Canis lupus familiaris: one gene and its partner. The protein of the gene in region 1 interacts with the protein of each later gene in a biochemical or structural test. Links are inferred from orthologs where the notes say so. Each region holds a gene or a part of one and is shown on either strand. Other genes may lie near its edges.

Evidence for each region. The genes of interacting proteins can lie anywhere in the genome.
Region 2: the proteins of DLG1 (region 1) and KCNJ2 form a complex in vitro, tested with the Homo sapiens proteins (2 studies listed by BioGRID and IntAct, with this or other methods). The link is inferred for Canis lupus familiaris from reciprocal best matches to the Homo sapiens genes DLG1 and KCNJ2.

Annotation. Positions count from the first base shown.
Region 1 is NC_049254.1:30,808,821-30,816,302, forward strand, and holds part of DLG1 (disks large homolog 1), read right to left. Parts: intron 7,230-7,482; coding exon 7,105-7,229; intron 5,249-7,104; coding exon 5,079-5,248; intron 3,713-5,078; coding exon 3,576-3,712; intron 1-3,575. UniProt on the Homo sapiens protein: Essential multidomain scaffolding protein required for normal development. Recruits channels, receptors and signaling molecules to discrete plasma membrane domains in polarized cells.
Region 2 is NC_049230.1:10,423,819-10,432,084, forward strand, and holds the end of KCNJ2 (inward rectifier potassium channel 2), read right to left. Parts: intron 4,490-8,266; 5' UTR 4,272-4,489; coding exon 2,988-4,271; downstream 1-2,987.

The DNA of each region.
Region 1 (7,482 bases):
TTTCATTTCCCTAATTTGTACCTGTATAATTGACAAGAAAGATTTTAATGTTCTGACAAAAATTTTTAAAGATCACAGAACAATCATTAATTTTTGCCACAGATTATAATACTGCTTCACAAAGTTTTAGCCATATGGTCATTTTTATGGTCCCACACTACCATGTAAGTGAAGGACGCTTGGATTTTGAAATATACAGCTGTGATATACTGTTCCTTTGGTGGTCTGCAGGGAGCCCTGCATCTTGGTGTTCACGACCCTATAAAATCCAATCCTACAGTGAACCTTGCTTGGTCATGTAACTAGCTTTAGCCAATGAGACATTAATAATTGTGATGCAAAGAGAGGATTGATAAATGCCACACACTGGAGCCTGCCTTTTTGGTATGCCCCTCTTGTAACCTGGTCACCATCCTTGAGAAGCTTAACTTAGCCACGTGGAGAGGCCACTGGCTAACAGCTCCAATTGAGAGCCAACACCAACTTGTCTGCCATATATAAGTGAACTTGGAAGTGGATTCCTGGATCTCTAGTTGAGCTACCAGGTGACATTATGCAGAACAGAGGCTGTCCTGGCTGAACCCTACCCAAATTACAGAAGTGTCAGCAAATAATTATTGTTGTTGTTTTAGCCACTAATTTCTGTATTTTCTTTTTTTTTTTTTTTTTTTAATTTCTGTATTTTCTTAAGTAGCATTAGATAACAGATAAAGAGCTGACAAGATTTGTCAAGGGATTCAATATGGAGCATAAAAGGACAATGAGCCTGAAGTTTTAGACCTGGGTAAACAGATGTGAAGACTGTGCAACGAACAGGATTTGAGGATGGTGGGTGAGGCTTAGGATGAAACTCAGAAATTTATTTTTATTTTATTTTTTAAAGTTTTTATTCATTTATTTATTCATGCAAGAGAGGCAGAGACACAGGCAGAGGAAGAAGCAAGCTCCCAGTGGGGAGCCTGATACAGGACTTGATGCCAACACCCTGGGATCACGGCCTGAGACAAAGGCAGATGCTCAACCCAGGCACCCCAAAAGTTCCTTTTTAGATATAATAAATTTGACATGATTCTTGAGATTTATGAAAGGAGACTAGGTGAAATCTCTTAGGGCTTTTCAACTGTTCTGCTAAGAACCATGGTTAAAAATTTTTATAGTTTAGCCAAGCACAAAATGTATTGTGTATGTATGTAAAAACAAAAGTTCAGAAAATAATACTTACGCCTATCATTTGCAATGATACTGTAAGTTATTTGACCACCTATCAAAAAGAAAAAACGTACAAGGACCAAGTCCTTTCTCACTTCAATGTTTAGAGGTTAGAGAGAAGATGTACCAAAAGGGAGGATGAGAAGGAATGACTAGTGACATAAGAGGAATATCAAGAAAGAGGGTAACCGTTATAGAAAATGGAAGTGGTCTGAAGAAGATGGAAGTTGTGCTGAATGCCTGATGGCAATTAGGCTGAGAATTAAGAATTCAGTAATTTCAGTGGAATTATGACAACCAAAGCCTAACTAAATGTCAATCAGGACACATTGCTGGCTTTCCAACCACTAAAATGGATTCTGGAAAAACCATAAAAGAAAACATAGTATCTAAGAAATTAAACAGTACAAATGAAAAACTCAGTGAAAAAAGGCAGCTATTTTCAATGGGTGTGTGTGTTAGGATTAGGGGCTAGAGTTAGGGTTAAAAGAAAAGCAGTCCAAAGTCAGCTCTTTCCTCTTCCCCATTATCAACCTGAAAACAATCTCCTTGCTTCAGCAATAAGCAGTAATGGACTGCATGTACAACAAAGGAATCATTTATATATTGCTCACAGGAGTGTACATTTTTATAACTGGTTTGGAAAACAAGATGTTTTTGCTATAATGTTACTAAGAGGATATTCAATGACCACTGCTTTAGGATAAATAGTTAAGTGAAACTCTTGTATGTACATGTTCACCAGACACAAAGCAGCTCTCCCTAGAATTATTCATACTACCAAAAAAAAAAAAAAAACAAAAAACAAAAAAGATGGGGATCCCGGGGTGGCTCAGCGGTTTAGCGCCTGCCTTTGGCTCAGGGCGTGATCCTGGAGTCCCGGGATTGAGTCCCGCATCGGGCATCCAGCATGGGGCCTGCTTCTTCTCTGCCTGTGTCTCTGCCTCTCTATCACGAATAAATAAATAAATAAATCCTTTAAAAAAAAAAAAGCAATAACCCAACTTACTACTGTATCAGATCTAGTTTATGTGCCTTTTCAGATTTTCTTGAGCCTACATGCCTACTAGGCTTTGGCTGTGTGCTTACTGGAGAGTCCTGGCTACCACTTCTCTCACCTTGTCTCCTACCATTACCAGATCTTTTAATCTTTTCTAGGGTAAGGGCTGCACTTGGCATGACTAATGTGTTACACAGAAATGAGAGCTGTAACACGTCAAAAGCCTGTGTTCTGGTCTGTCTAGATCACTGAAGCTCTGGTTCTTTCCATCACTTCTCAGTTCAGAGGAAATGCTATACCATGGAGTATGGGAGCTGGCTTCCCTAGCATTTGCCCAGAGTAGCTGAGTAACAGTGCAGAAATTAGGGACAGTTACCATTCATGGAATAGACTCTATCTAACAAGAGATAGGGAGACAAATATTTTCTTTTCCCTGGATGGCTGGATCTAAAGTTTAATAGTGTCACATCACCTGACTGGAAGGCTGTCCTATATGTCAATTAGTGACATTTTCTTATGAAATTATAGCCAGCTCAGAAACATAATACCTTGTATTGACTTTCCCCTATTCTCTCCCTCACTTTTCATTTTCATTCACTCTAGCTTCTGAGATTACATCTCCCAATGAAACCTTAGCACGGTACCTTTTCTTCAGATGTTTTTCTAGGGAACATAGACTAGGATCATTATTGATGAAGACTGGATAAATAAACTGCAGTATAGATCTGGAGCTATATTATGTAGAGGTGAAATGAATAAATTTTTAGCTCTAGGCAACAATCTGGATAAATCTCAGTAAACCAATTCTGAGTAAAAAATAAAATTTAAAAGACTACATTCAGCACAACAGCCTTTTTTTTTTTTTTTGTTTTTTTTTCACAACAGCCTTTAAGAACATTTTCAGAACAAATTAATATTAAACAAGATATTTAGGCATAGGTATGTGATTAAACAATTTTTAAAAGCAAATGAATAAAAAACAAGTTGTTGATATTCTAGTTTTGATTTTAGCAGTCTTCATTATACTATAATTAAGTAACAAGAAAAAGAAAGTCACACACAAAGGGTGATACTGTGTTTAAACAATTCTGTGCATCCAACTCCCTAGCCCTTCAACAAAAAAGAGTAGGAAAAGGAAGGAAAAAAAAAAAAAAAGAAAGAAAAGAGAGAGAAGCTAGTAGAGGGGGAACAAAGGGGCAAATAATACCAAGAACCATTTTTCAGGTTTTGATTAAAAATTAGTGTTCATTCATTTAAATATTGTTTAAACATTTTTGGCAAGAAAAATTTCAGTTTTTCCAAAAAAAAAAAAAAAAAAGAGGAGACATGAAAATGATTTTTAAAATAACAGCTTTCTTATACTCACTGCTAAAAGTTTATCTCCAATCTGAAGTTTACCATCTTTATGTGCTGCACCTCCTTCAATTATCTTGGTTACATAGATGCTATTATCCCCAGGAATATGTTGATTTCCAACACCTCCAGCAATGCTGAACCCAAGACCTGTTTGGAAAATACTAGTTTTGAAATTTCATCATTTAAAGTATTTTTAAGTCCAGAAATGGTTGAAAACTAGAAGGTGACAGTCTTATCACACTCATGTTTTTTGGTTTTTTTTTTTAAATACAGACGAATCTATTTGTCTACTTTTTTTTTTTAAAGTAGCCTCCACCCCCAGCATGGGGCCCAGAGGGGGGACTTGAACTTAAAACCCTGAGATCGAGACCTGAGCTGAGATCAAGGGTTGGATGCTCAAGTGACTGAGTCACCCAAGCACACCTATTTGCCTATTTTTTAAGTCTTACGTGTTTACTTTGTAGTCATTGAACAATTTTTTATATAGATGTTCCTACAGTTAGAAATAAGTTCTGTCCTCTCTGCCCAGGTTACTTCTTAAGGTCTGTTTGTAAATGCGTTTGTTAGTTCAAAGAGGCATTACAAAATTATGTTTCAATTTTGTTCCCATCATGATTGTGTTTCTAACACTTTTAATACCTTCATAAGAGTAAAACAATTGAGAAAAATAATAAAATTTTTTGGTAGTAGGCAGAACTAATAGGCTTCACAATGTGGATAATTTTGTTCCTTTTCCAATATTCTATGAATTACTTTTATTTTTTTAAAGATTCACTTATTTATTTTAGAAAGAGAGAAAGTACACATGAGTCAGAGGGATGGGGGGTGGGGGAGGAAAGGGAGAGTATGAGAGGGTCTTAAGCAGCCTCTGTGTGGAGCCTAGAACTTTTTTTGAGCCTAGAGCTTTAAGCCTAGAGTTTGACATGCATGATCACATGACCCTGAAGTCAGGGCCTGAGCTGAAACTAAGAGTTGGAGACTTAACAGACTACCACTCAAGCGCCCCTCTGAATTTTTTAAAGAATTTCTGTAATTCATAAATTCCATAGCTTCAATACTAGACAAATTTGTAGCTTTCTATTCTTTTTTTCATTTGTTGGAATACTACTTCTTCCATAAAGTTACAAATTAGAATAAGTAATTATCCTCAATTCCATCAATGTTTTCAAAACTCAGAAATCAAGTATTAACTGTCCCCATTACAGATGAGGCTAATGACATACTCATAATTACTTCTTTCTTTTAACTTAGCCCGTGTATCTGCATTTAATACATTTTGTAGATTGATGATTACAAGTTAATAGCAACAGTATACATAAGTTCCAAGTGCTAAATAGAATTCTACCTAAGACAAAAATCAGCAGAAATTAAAGAGAAATTCTAAAAATCCACACAAGTTCTGTAGATTACTAGTACTGTTAATCTTAGAATGTGTGTCACTAGTAACTTGATAGTTACATTTATCTCAGTAATTTCTTACTTGATAATCTGTCTTGGTTTCACTATTCCATACCTTTAGGGCCTTTAATAAGCTTTATTTCCATTATTTTTTCTGATACTGGTTTCCGTCTTTTTACATACAAGCGTACGATAGACCCTGCTTCTTTCAATGCTTCAACTGCTTTGCTATGTGTCACATCACGAACATCTACTTCATTTACTCGCAATATACAGTCATTGACCCTGAGAAGAAACCCAAAATATTAAAAATAAAAATTAAATATTAAAATATAAAACTTACACATTGACAATTTTTTGTCATTTTCATTTTTAAAGTAGAGAATTATTTACTATAGAAAATATATACAAAAAAAATATATACAAAGAAACTTCAGGTTAAATTCCACCGTATCAAATAGTCATATAAATAATAAATACAAATATTTCCTGAGGGCCAACCAAATAAACAGTGCAGATAACAGATTACCACACAATAATATTAAATAATAATGATAGCTGTAATTTGTATGGTTCTTGTATGCTAATTATGTGTAAGCATTAAGATAATTACAAAAATAGCAAATATTTATTTAGCACTAACCACATGCCAAGCACTTCTTTGTGTTTTATTATTTTTTTTATTTTTTATTTTTTTAGTGTTTTAACCCTTACGACAACCTGGAGAAAGTAAGGCACAAAGAGTTTAGAATTTTCCTAAGGTCACCCAGATAATGACTGATAGAGCTGTGACTCACAGAAAAGAAAACTGAGGTTCAGATTGAGCAATAAGTTTAAGGTCACAGACACAGTGGTGGCAAAGTGGAGATAACTCATTGATTTATCCAAAAATAATTTGACTGCTTTTTCAATATGATACATAAAAAAAATAAAAGTTATATCTTGAAATTTATATGAAGCTAATGATTACATTACTTAATTAAAAGGTTCTTCATGTAAATAATTTATTTAAATTTGACACAGTAATATATTTTTTTTAAAGTTTGATTTGTTCCTAGTCCTAACTTCTCCCCTAGCTCTGGTCTCAGTTTAAATTGCATAGCATTTCATTAAGGGGAAAAATCATATGAAACTGGGCAGGGAAGGAGAACAAAACCCAATTAAAATATTAAAATTGATCCTGATGAGCTTCTTTGTAATTAGCTTTCTTAAGAGGAAAGAAACTTATGTGAAGACAGTTATATGTTAGAGTAAGTATTAAAGGTATGTTCTTTAGTGAAACAATTATTTGTGCTTAATTTTCACATAAGCACAAATAAAAACACAATTGGGAATTGTCTGCATTTACATGAATGGTCAAATTATTAATTTTATATCCAAATGATTTCATTAATAACATATCACCTTTTCTATCCAATGAGAAGTTTAGAAACTGAAGAGCTGCAGAAGGTATCAACAACCTTAAAACCAGACGTTATTTTTAACAGACCATATAGAAATCCTTAGTCCTAAAACTTTAGACTGTTACTACTTTAGACTGTTACTACTACTACTACTACACACACACACACACACACACACACACACACCCCCCAACAAAAAAGGGAACAGGAAAAGTGCCATAATCTATGGTCTAAGGAAACATGATTGTAGAAGATATCTACAATGGAACACTACATTTAAACAAGAGACCAGTATTACTTTCATTCATTCAATTAAGAAAATGTATCAATTTATTTAAACTTTGCATAATCTTTACTTTTTGTGGTATGGGATACAAACTCAGATATATATATATCATCGCTTGTATATCCTAAGTTTGTATACATGTTTCTTACCCAGAAAATAAATGGAAAACATTTTGTGAATATATTTAAAAATACAAAAGGCATTCTATGATTTCTATACATTTGCTTACAAACATTTAAAATAATCAAATTTATGATTCAACATGTTATAATATCAAATTCCTAAATGAAGAGGGAAACAATGTTTAGTGTACAATTGTCTCATTTGTTAGAGTATCTACCTTATGTTGGTTATTATGATAGTGCTTATTTGTATTGATGCCTTGGTTCCATCTGCCTAAGGAAAAATATACAAGGTATATTCACCATCACAACATTAAATGCAAAACATACCGTAATCTTCCATCTTGGGCAGCTGCTCCCCCTGCAATAATTTTGGTAATGAAAATACTTGAGTCATCTCCAATGTGTGGGTTGTCCGTACCTCCTGCAATACTGAAACCAAGCCCTGAATTTCCCTAGAGATAAAGGAAAAAAAAAATTAAGCCTGAATATGAATTACCTTTCTTGATAGATTCCAGTCATTTTAGGACCTAGGAACTGTAAATAACATGGGAACACATTTATAAAGGTGTATATATAGGGGATATGAAAATTCTAAATTAAGAAATATAAGGAAAGCTCTTTTTTTTTCTCTATGTAGAATTCAAAGGCATTACTTCTGAGTAAGTACTAAGTTCTTTTGAAGTAAAGTATGTGGATCATACTTGG
Region 2 (8,266 bases), on another chromosome or scaffold:
GACCCCAGATATTCACGGCGAGTCTCCTCGGACTTCATTTTAACGACGTATGTGCACTAATTAAGGAGACTCAGTCAATAAGGACAAATGTTTTGAAGGTAAAATGCAACAAAAAATGTTGTGCATTACCTGTGTCTTGGCTCTTGACAAAAAAAAAAAAAAAAAAAAAAAAAAATTGCCATTTAAAGCTTGTAATTGTTAAAATACTAACTAGAAAGAGCTTTCAAATGAACAGTCCATGCTGAAATAAATAACAGAACATAGCAATACGAACCTTATAAGGCTGGTAAATATTTGCTAAAACCATGCTAACCGGTAGCATAGAGGTACTAGCTCTCTGAAATTGCTGCACTGAAATTATACTTTCTATGGCAATTTTTTTTTCCTTTACAGACTTCTATTTACATTTGGCTTTAAATATGAAAATATCTGATAAACTTTATAAAATGTACACTTTAAAAACATAGCTTCTGCAAAATTTTCTTGGAAAAAAAAAAACAGAAACAAAAACAAACCTGTGCACCAGAAATTTTAGATTTTTTTTCTGTTTTTCAGAAATAAGTTGAAAGATTTCCCTCCCTCATTCTTGCCCCCAGACCCACCCCCTTTCAAATATCTCAAGTCTTTTTAAGTGGCAGCACTGTGTGTTTGGGAGGAGCCCTCTCAGTGGTCACCCCATGCTCCACTGCATCTTCATTTAATTTACATATCACTGAATACTCTTTGGTTTGATTATTTTCCTTTGCAAAATATCGAAATAGCAGCAGCTGAAGCCCTCAGTAACCTCTCACCCTCAACAGCCAACTTGTTCTCTCTTCTGTCAATTCTTTTGTCCTATCAATCCCAATTCCTCCAACTCTCAAAACAACTTCCCAAACCTGCCTTTAAATTTGGATTTAAAATAGCATCCGCTTGCTTGACATCTCTGTCTTGGTTTCCATGAGAAGAACACCAGTTTTCAAACCCATCGACTCTGAAGGCTGAGAACAGCAGAAACTGTAATATTATTGCAGGCACGGCATTCAGAGATGGCTGTTCAAGAACCAGAGACCATCACACACATCAATTTACGAAATACAGGATTCCAGAACAAGCTGTTTTTTAATGGCATACAGGGTTATAATACCATAAGAGAGTTGATTTTGAGACTCCAATTAAAAAAGAAAAGTCAGCAACCCCCAGAATTCACACATAAGGAACTTTAAACCAAAAAAGAGCTCCATTATTGAGTTAGAGCAGGGTAAAAAAAAAAAAAAAAAAAGTTTCAGTCAAGTCAGGCAGCCAGGCAGGAGAGACTTCTGGAAAACAATGTGTCCTTAGTAACCTGCTCTAGGGCTCTATAGGCGAGAAGGATCAGCTCAGATCCAATCCCAAATGTGCATACATAAAGGAGAAATAATCCTTTTAGATCATTATCTCTTCTACTTGTGGCTGTTATATCTTGTATGGCTCTGGTTGACCCCAGAATACTGCGACATTTTCATTCCTACCCTCTACCATTAAAAATAAATAAATAACTTTCCTCTCCCTCCCGAATACTTGAGCTGACGTGCTGTATCAAAGTGGCCGGTCCACACGGTCCACACCTCACCAGCTCCCCCTTGGGCATCTGCAGCCTCCCAGACACTATAGGACTCACTCCAGACACACTGATCGGAAGAACCAGCCTAGAGGCCAGGCGTGGCATCTTCTCAAAGGCGAAGTCGGCCTGGAAATGTCCTGACAGTTGGGCCAATGAATTCAGCTGCAAGGGTTTAAACTTCTCTATCTTTCACGTTGGATGGCTCAGCTTTTGGGGATGCCAACTAACTCCAACCTAGGTCTTATCTTATGGAATAAATCCTGGAAGGCGCCCAAAGGGGAGAGCCAGAAAAATCTAAGAGCCCGTCACCATCTCTCACCTTATGCGTCGGCCTGGCCAGCCCAACCTCACAGGAAAGAAAGGATATTTTGATTGTGTGTGTGTGAATTTTCCTTCCCCTTTCTTCTTCCTCTCATCATACACTAGTTGCATGAAAGAGCAAAACTGAAAAAGCACGACACTTACTATACTCTGCGGAGGATATTCTATTTTCTGAATAAGGTGAAAAAAGGAGAGGGCAGTTCAAGGTCTTGCTGAGGTTCAAAGTTACTGTTTCTTGATTTCAAGGCAGCCGTGGGGCTTTCTATCCTTTTTAGTATAAGCTCCACTGTGCAAAAATGTGCATTATCTTTGGTATTTATTTTAGGTAGTCTAACTTAAAATTTGAGATAACCCATTAACATCATGGAAGAAAAAAAAAAAAAAGAAAACCCAGAGGCTACCATTTGGCTAGTGTTACATAATGCCCTTATGTAACCAAAGAGAGAGAGAGAAAGAGAGAGAGAGAGAGAGAGAAAAAAAAAATCAATTCTAGCAAACAAATTACTGGCCTCAAAAAATCAGGCTCTCGTTTTGGCAGCTTAATAGCCAAATACTTGCCACTTTGAAGCACATATCATGAGCTTTCAACAAAGTTCAACACTGACTTTTAAATTACACGAAAGAAGAACTACACGGCAACAAAAATACAATTTGTGTTCATGTAGTTAGCAGCTTTTCAAAAAAAATTAAGGCAGAGTCTTGCCTTTGTTATGCCATTAAAAACATTCTTGTTCCCTAAGGAGAAGCATTCTGGATTCGTCAAATACCCAACCGAGGCTGGCCTGCGAGTTCAAGTTTTGTAAAACACACAAAACGAAACAGAAAAACCCCATAACTTATTCTATCACATGTATGTGCCATCGGGTCATGGGGTGGGGGAGGGGGGAGAGGAGGCGTGTTGAGTGCTCTAAGGTTAAATCTCCGAGCTTACAGTCCTTTCTTCGACGCCACCGTACTCGCCTCGGTCCCTTGTGGCCACGTGCCTTGACCCACCTCTTCACCAGTACCGTCGTCTGAATAACTGCTTGGGGCCTTTGACCAACAGACTGTTAGTTGAAAGTCAATATTCCAGAGGAGGAAGCAGTCAGATCTCCGACTCTCGCCTTAAGGGCCTGGGCTCTAGAGGTACGCTTGCCTGGTTGTGAAGGTCTAGGTCAGGGGGCGTGTCCGTACTCGTGCTTTCTGGAACTCCATTTTCACTGTCATCTTCCTCTTTGCTTGTGAGGGCAACTTCGTTTTCGTAGCAAAAGGAGTTAGCATTTGAGAGGATGTATTTCTTTTCGGCTAAGTCTCTGGCACTACAGAGGGGCGTGTTGGGCACTTCGTAGGTCTTGTGGAACCTTGAGTAGTCCACTTTGTAGTAGTGCTTCTCCTCGAAGAGGACAGGCTCGTAGCGGTGGCCCCAGAGGATCTCATTCGCCAGATAGGAGCTACGGCACTGGGTGGTCATGGCCGTGGCCTCCACCATGCCCTCCAGTATGACAACGATTTCAAAGTCTGCATTGTCGATGTCCTGTTTGCTCAAGTCATATAAAGGACTGTCTTCATCTATCTCGTGGACTATGGTGATGGGGGACACCAGAAATATCCGGTCAATCCCGCTGTCGAACCCAACGTTGATATCTATTTGATCCAGGGGGATGTACTCCCCCTCGGAAGTGATTCGGGATTTGAGCAGCTGGGCCCTCACGTGGGCCTCCACCAAGTGGCTCTTCCGAAGGTTGCCCACCCGCCACATCAAACACAGCTTGCCATCTCTCATGGCGATCACAGCGTTGTGACTGAAGACCAGAGTCTCGTTCCTCTTCTTTGGCTTGGCCATCTTCGCCATGACCGCGCCGATGATGAAGGCATCGATGATGCAGCCCACGATGGACTGGAAGACCACCATGAACACGGCAACTGGGCATTCGTCTGTGACACAGCGGAAGCCGTAGCCTATGGTCGTCTGGGTCTCGATGGAGAAGAGGAAGGCCGCCGTGAAGCTGTTGACCTCGGACACGCAAGCCTTGCTCTCTTTAGATGCATCCAGATCGCCATGGAGCAGAGCTATCAACCAAAACACACAGCCAAAGAACAGCCAGGAGAGCACGAACGCCAGGCAGAAGATGACCAGCATCCACCGCCAGCGAATGTCCACGCATGTGGTAAAGATGTCTGCGAGGTACCGCTGTCCCTTCTCCCCCACGTTGATGAACTGGACGTTGCAGTGGCCGTCCTTCTTCACGAAGCGGCTCCTGCACTGCTGTCGGGTGTGGACCTTACTCTTCCCGTTCCCAAAGCCGTTGGCAACCGCCATGGTGGCCAACTTCATCCCGTCCTCTTCGGAAGAGACGATGCTGTAGCGGTTGGTCCGCACACTGCCCATCGCTCCTGCTGTGGACGCCAGTGCTTCGGCTTTGGAAAACAGTCTGAGTTTTTGCAAGACCCTTTGGAGAAACAGTTTTGAATGCTCGGTGAGGACACACACGCCAAAGAAGAAGGAGAGACGGCGGGCCTCCAGGAGCCGGGGCTTCTACCAACGTCTGTCTCCGGACATGCAGAGCCACCTCAGTAACTCAGCTGACATCCAGGGGAGGACGTGACCTGGAAACAACGAGACAAGACGTTATTCATCCGAAAAGAAGGCATCGGCAAGGGGTTCTGCTCTCTCGGGGGACATTTCCTAGCGGACGTACACCCTGCGCTGAGTTAGAAGGTGTTCTTAGCTGCTTTGTCCCCTGAACTGTATCTTTTATTGTACTTAAAAGCATCAAGTCATCGAACGTGGAAGAGTTTGGGACAGTCTTTCAATCAAAATGTCAGGTTCTTTTCCCCCTGTTTTCTTTTTTCTTTTTTTTTTTTTCCAGCAATCTAGGCGATTCTATTTTCCAGAGAAACCCCTCTTATCCTCTCTCGTGCCTACTCTGCTTGCTAGGGCCCCAGGTTGTCAAGCAGAAGGGAGACTGGCTGAGCAAGGCCAAGGTTTGTCACGAGGCTTTGGGAACTCAGACATGTCCAGAGGACCGACCGTTCGTATAAACGCAGAATATTAATATTAACTGAGCTGCAGGTGCATCGGGGGAGAATAGAGCGGAGCCCTCGAGGACACGGTGGAAATCAGAAGGCACAGACTATTTTGTTTAAATGATTAAACATTTTTTTTTAATCATTTAAAAAAAATAAAAAACCAACAACTGAGCAGACAGCCCTTAGAGTGATCTGAAATCGGTCCCAATTTCTGGAGACTGTTTGGGCTTGCTCCATCACTTCGCACGGCGCTAGCAGCCACTTTGCAGAAATGCCCGATAACATCTCTGTTACTGCAAGTGATTCTGACTTGAAGGCGTGGGTTTGCTCTGGGGGATAAAGAGCGAGTCTGTTGCCTAGCAATGAGTCCTGAAATTCTCCGGAGATGGGACTGCCATGTGTAATGACAGGCTAGGAAGTAAGCACCTTTGTGCCAAAGGACCAGGTCTTCAGCGAATTGAGATAAGGCAGGAACTCATTTCATGTGGGTCCAATTCCGTGTTTTCCCAAACAGAGACAACTTGGTAGGAGTAGATCACGACTGTCAGTCGGCTCACTTTCACTTCCAGTGCTGCTGTTTGCTCTAGGTTCCCATGGAGAAGGCACTCACCTTTACCTAACGTGAACCAATAATCGTTTTCAGTCTTCTCCTCTAGCCTCATCCTAACCCAGATAAAAACGATCTATCGCCTTGAACTTCCCATCTTCACTCCCAAGAAACTATTTTTTTTCCTTGACTAACAAAAGTGTCTAAGATAAAGTCCAAAGTGTCTCCTCTATCAAATAGAAATTAACAAAATGAACCCCGGCATAGAACTGAAAACCCAGAAGTGACTCTCCACTTGTCAAACAACCCAATCGATCTCCTGTAGGAAAGGAGGGGGGAGGGGGGCAATGGGAAACAGATGGGAAGGAGCAGAAAGTCACTGGAGCCCTGATTATGAGGACGCCACTTTTTCTTTCTCCACCCCCCCCCACAACCGCATAGAGATTAAGTAGTTAACAGAACCAATTTCAGCCGAGCCACCTGCCAACAAATAAAGCGAGTCATTTATCTTGTTTTTGCGCACCCCCCCCCTTCAAGAGAGGCAAGGTGCATTGTCTTTGAAAATGCCTTGTTACAGTCTTTTCACTTCTCTCTCCTTATCCAAGTTATTATGCAAGAATGTGCCCCAACACATTTTTCCTGAGATTAGTCATCTGTGAAAATTGCAATGTGTGTTACATTTTGGCAGCTTTTGACACGTAAATGATGCCCGATTTGAAAGTGCCTTTGAATTACTTTATAAAAAGAAGTTACTGTGCCTTCCTAGTCTTCCACCTGCTTCAATGTTTTGTCTGCTTCCCTATGAAGTTTGTACTTGGACAAAAGAAATAAGACTCCTATTCCTCAGGGTTCTAGATCCTGGACATGGAAAGAATTTTTTCAACAGTGACTTCAGATTACTGGGCTCATATGATATTGCCAAGGATTTCTACGCAAGACCAGAGAGAGATAACAATGCAACATCAGATGCAGGTGTACTTTCCAAAAAAGGGGGGAGAAGAGGAGGCCTCATTTAAATAGTGCTTGAATCCTTGAGGTCTGGATGACTTCAGAATCGTATATTATAAGCTGACACCAAGAAATTCCCTTTTCATGATTCAAAACAATCCTTCCATCTGAGTTACCATTAGGGACCATGAGTAGACAGTTTCAAATTTCTTCTGACTTATTTCTGCACTCTTTCCAGATTAAAGCATAACAACCATATGAAATCTAAAGACTGAATTACGACCCTCCAAAAATCTTGACCCTAGGACATTAGTTCGAATTCCACAAAACACACAATACCAGCTTCCTACCAATAGCTTTCTGCATTTGGAACTTTGAAAGTAGCCTGTATTGAACGACTATTATTGTCTTATTTCCACTGTTAATGACAGAATTTGTTCCACATGCGCAGCATCATTTACAAATTTTACCATTCTGCTGGAAAGGGGGAAAAAAAGATTTTTCTGGCAAAATGGAAGCTTTTGTCACTTCAAATAGATATGCTCCAAAACAGATTTATGTGTGTATATGTGTGCACACACTGTATGTGTATTTTAGAGTTTTGGGGAGCTGATTACATAGCAAAAATCTGGAACCTGCCACAGTTCGCTCGGGTGATTGTCTCAACATTTCATTATGAAGAAGGCCCTCCTTACTGACCTGCCCACATGCCCAAGTGGCTTTAGGCAAGCAGAAAACTTCCTTGCCTGCTTTTCTCTCACTAAAAAACACCGATTGGTGAGCATCTGGAAAAAAAACTTCCATTAGGAATAGGGCTTTCGTGCAACTTTATTTTAGGCATATATTCAAAATAATTTTTTCAGAGACATCTGATGAAGAATGATGAGAACACGAAGTGATCTGACTCCTTGATGGGTGCAGTTCAGGAGAATCCATATTTGATTTGAGGAACAATGTGTAAATTCCCCTCTCAGCCAAAATATTTAAGGGGCTGATGTCAATTTAATAGATACAAATAATCATTTTACCCAGGCTCTCACCAATGAGGTAGAAAGTATTTCTGGGAAATTGAGAGGCTACATGTGGTGCTGTTCATGTTAAGACTATTTATAGGCTGAGCCAAAATTAAGCATAAGCAATGGAAAAAAATAGTTCAGCCATTTCAATCTTAGGTAGATGTTAAAGAGAGAGAGTGCTATAGATAAAATTCAAGGTCAAGGAGATAACACGTATAAATGAGTGAAAAGAAGTCATTTTTACCATATAGGAAATATTCCCAATTTGGAGTATAAAAAAACTAGAAAAATATCATTATGACGAATAGATGAGAATAAATGTGCCTCATAATATGGTCATGGTGTGCAGTGAATAAGAAAGTTTCTAACTAAGGATAGCAAATGAGGATAGTAAAAGAAAGTGTGCTGGGCTGACAGAGAGGTCTGCTAATGAGTGTTCAGGGCAGTTATTCCCCAGCTGACGCCATATAGACCAGCCTGAGTATGCTCTGGGCACATGTTGCTATGTGAGCACAACTGCTAGCAAAGCAACCTCTTAGAAGCTCAGTAAACAGAAGGGAGGGGGGAGGGGAAGGAAGGGAAGGGGCAGAGGGATCCACATTTATCTATTTGAGCACTCTAGCATTTATACTCAACAGTGCATGTAGCATCACTCAGCATTGGCAAATGCTGAGAAATATATATATTTGGTGATTAAAAAAAAAAAAAAGCCTGCAAAGGTCTATCTGTTCAGGTAATAATGTGGCCAATCTTCCATGCCACTGAAAAGTCATACAAGGACTCGCCAGCTACCCAGAGATTCTACAACTGGGGCTTCTGAAGAGAGTAGAAATACTGTATGTT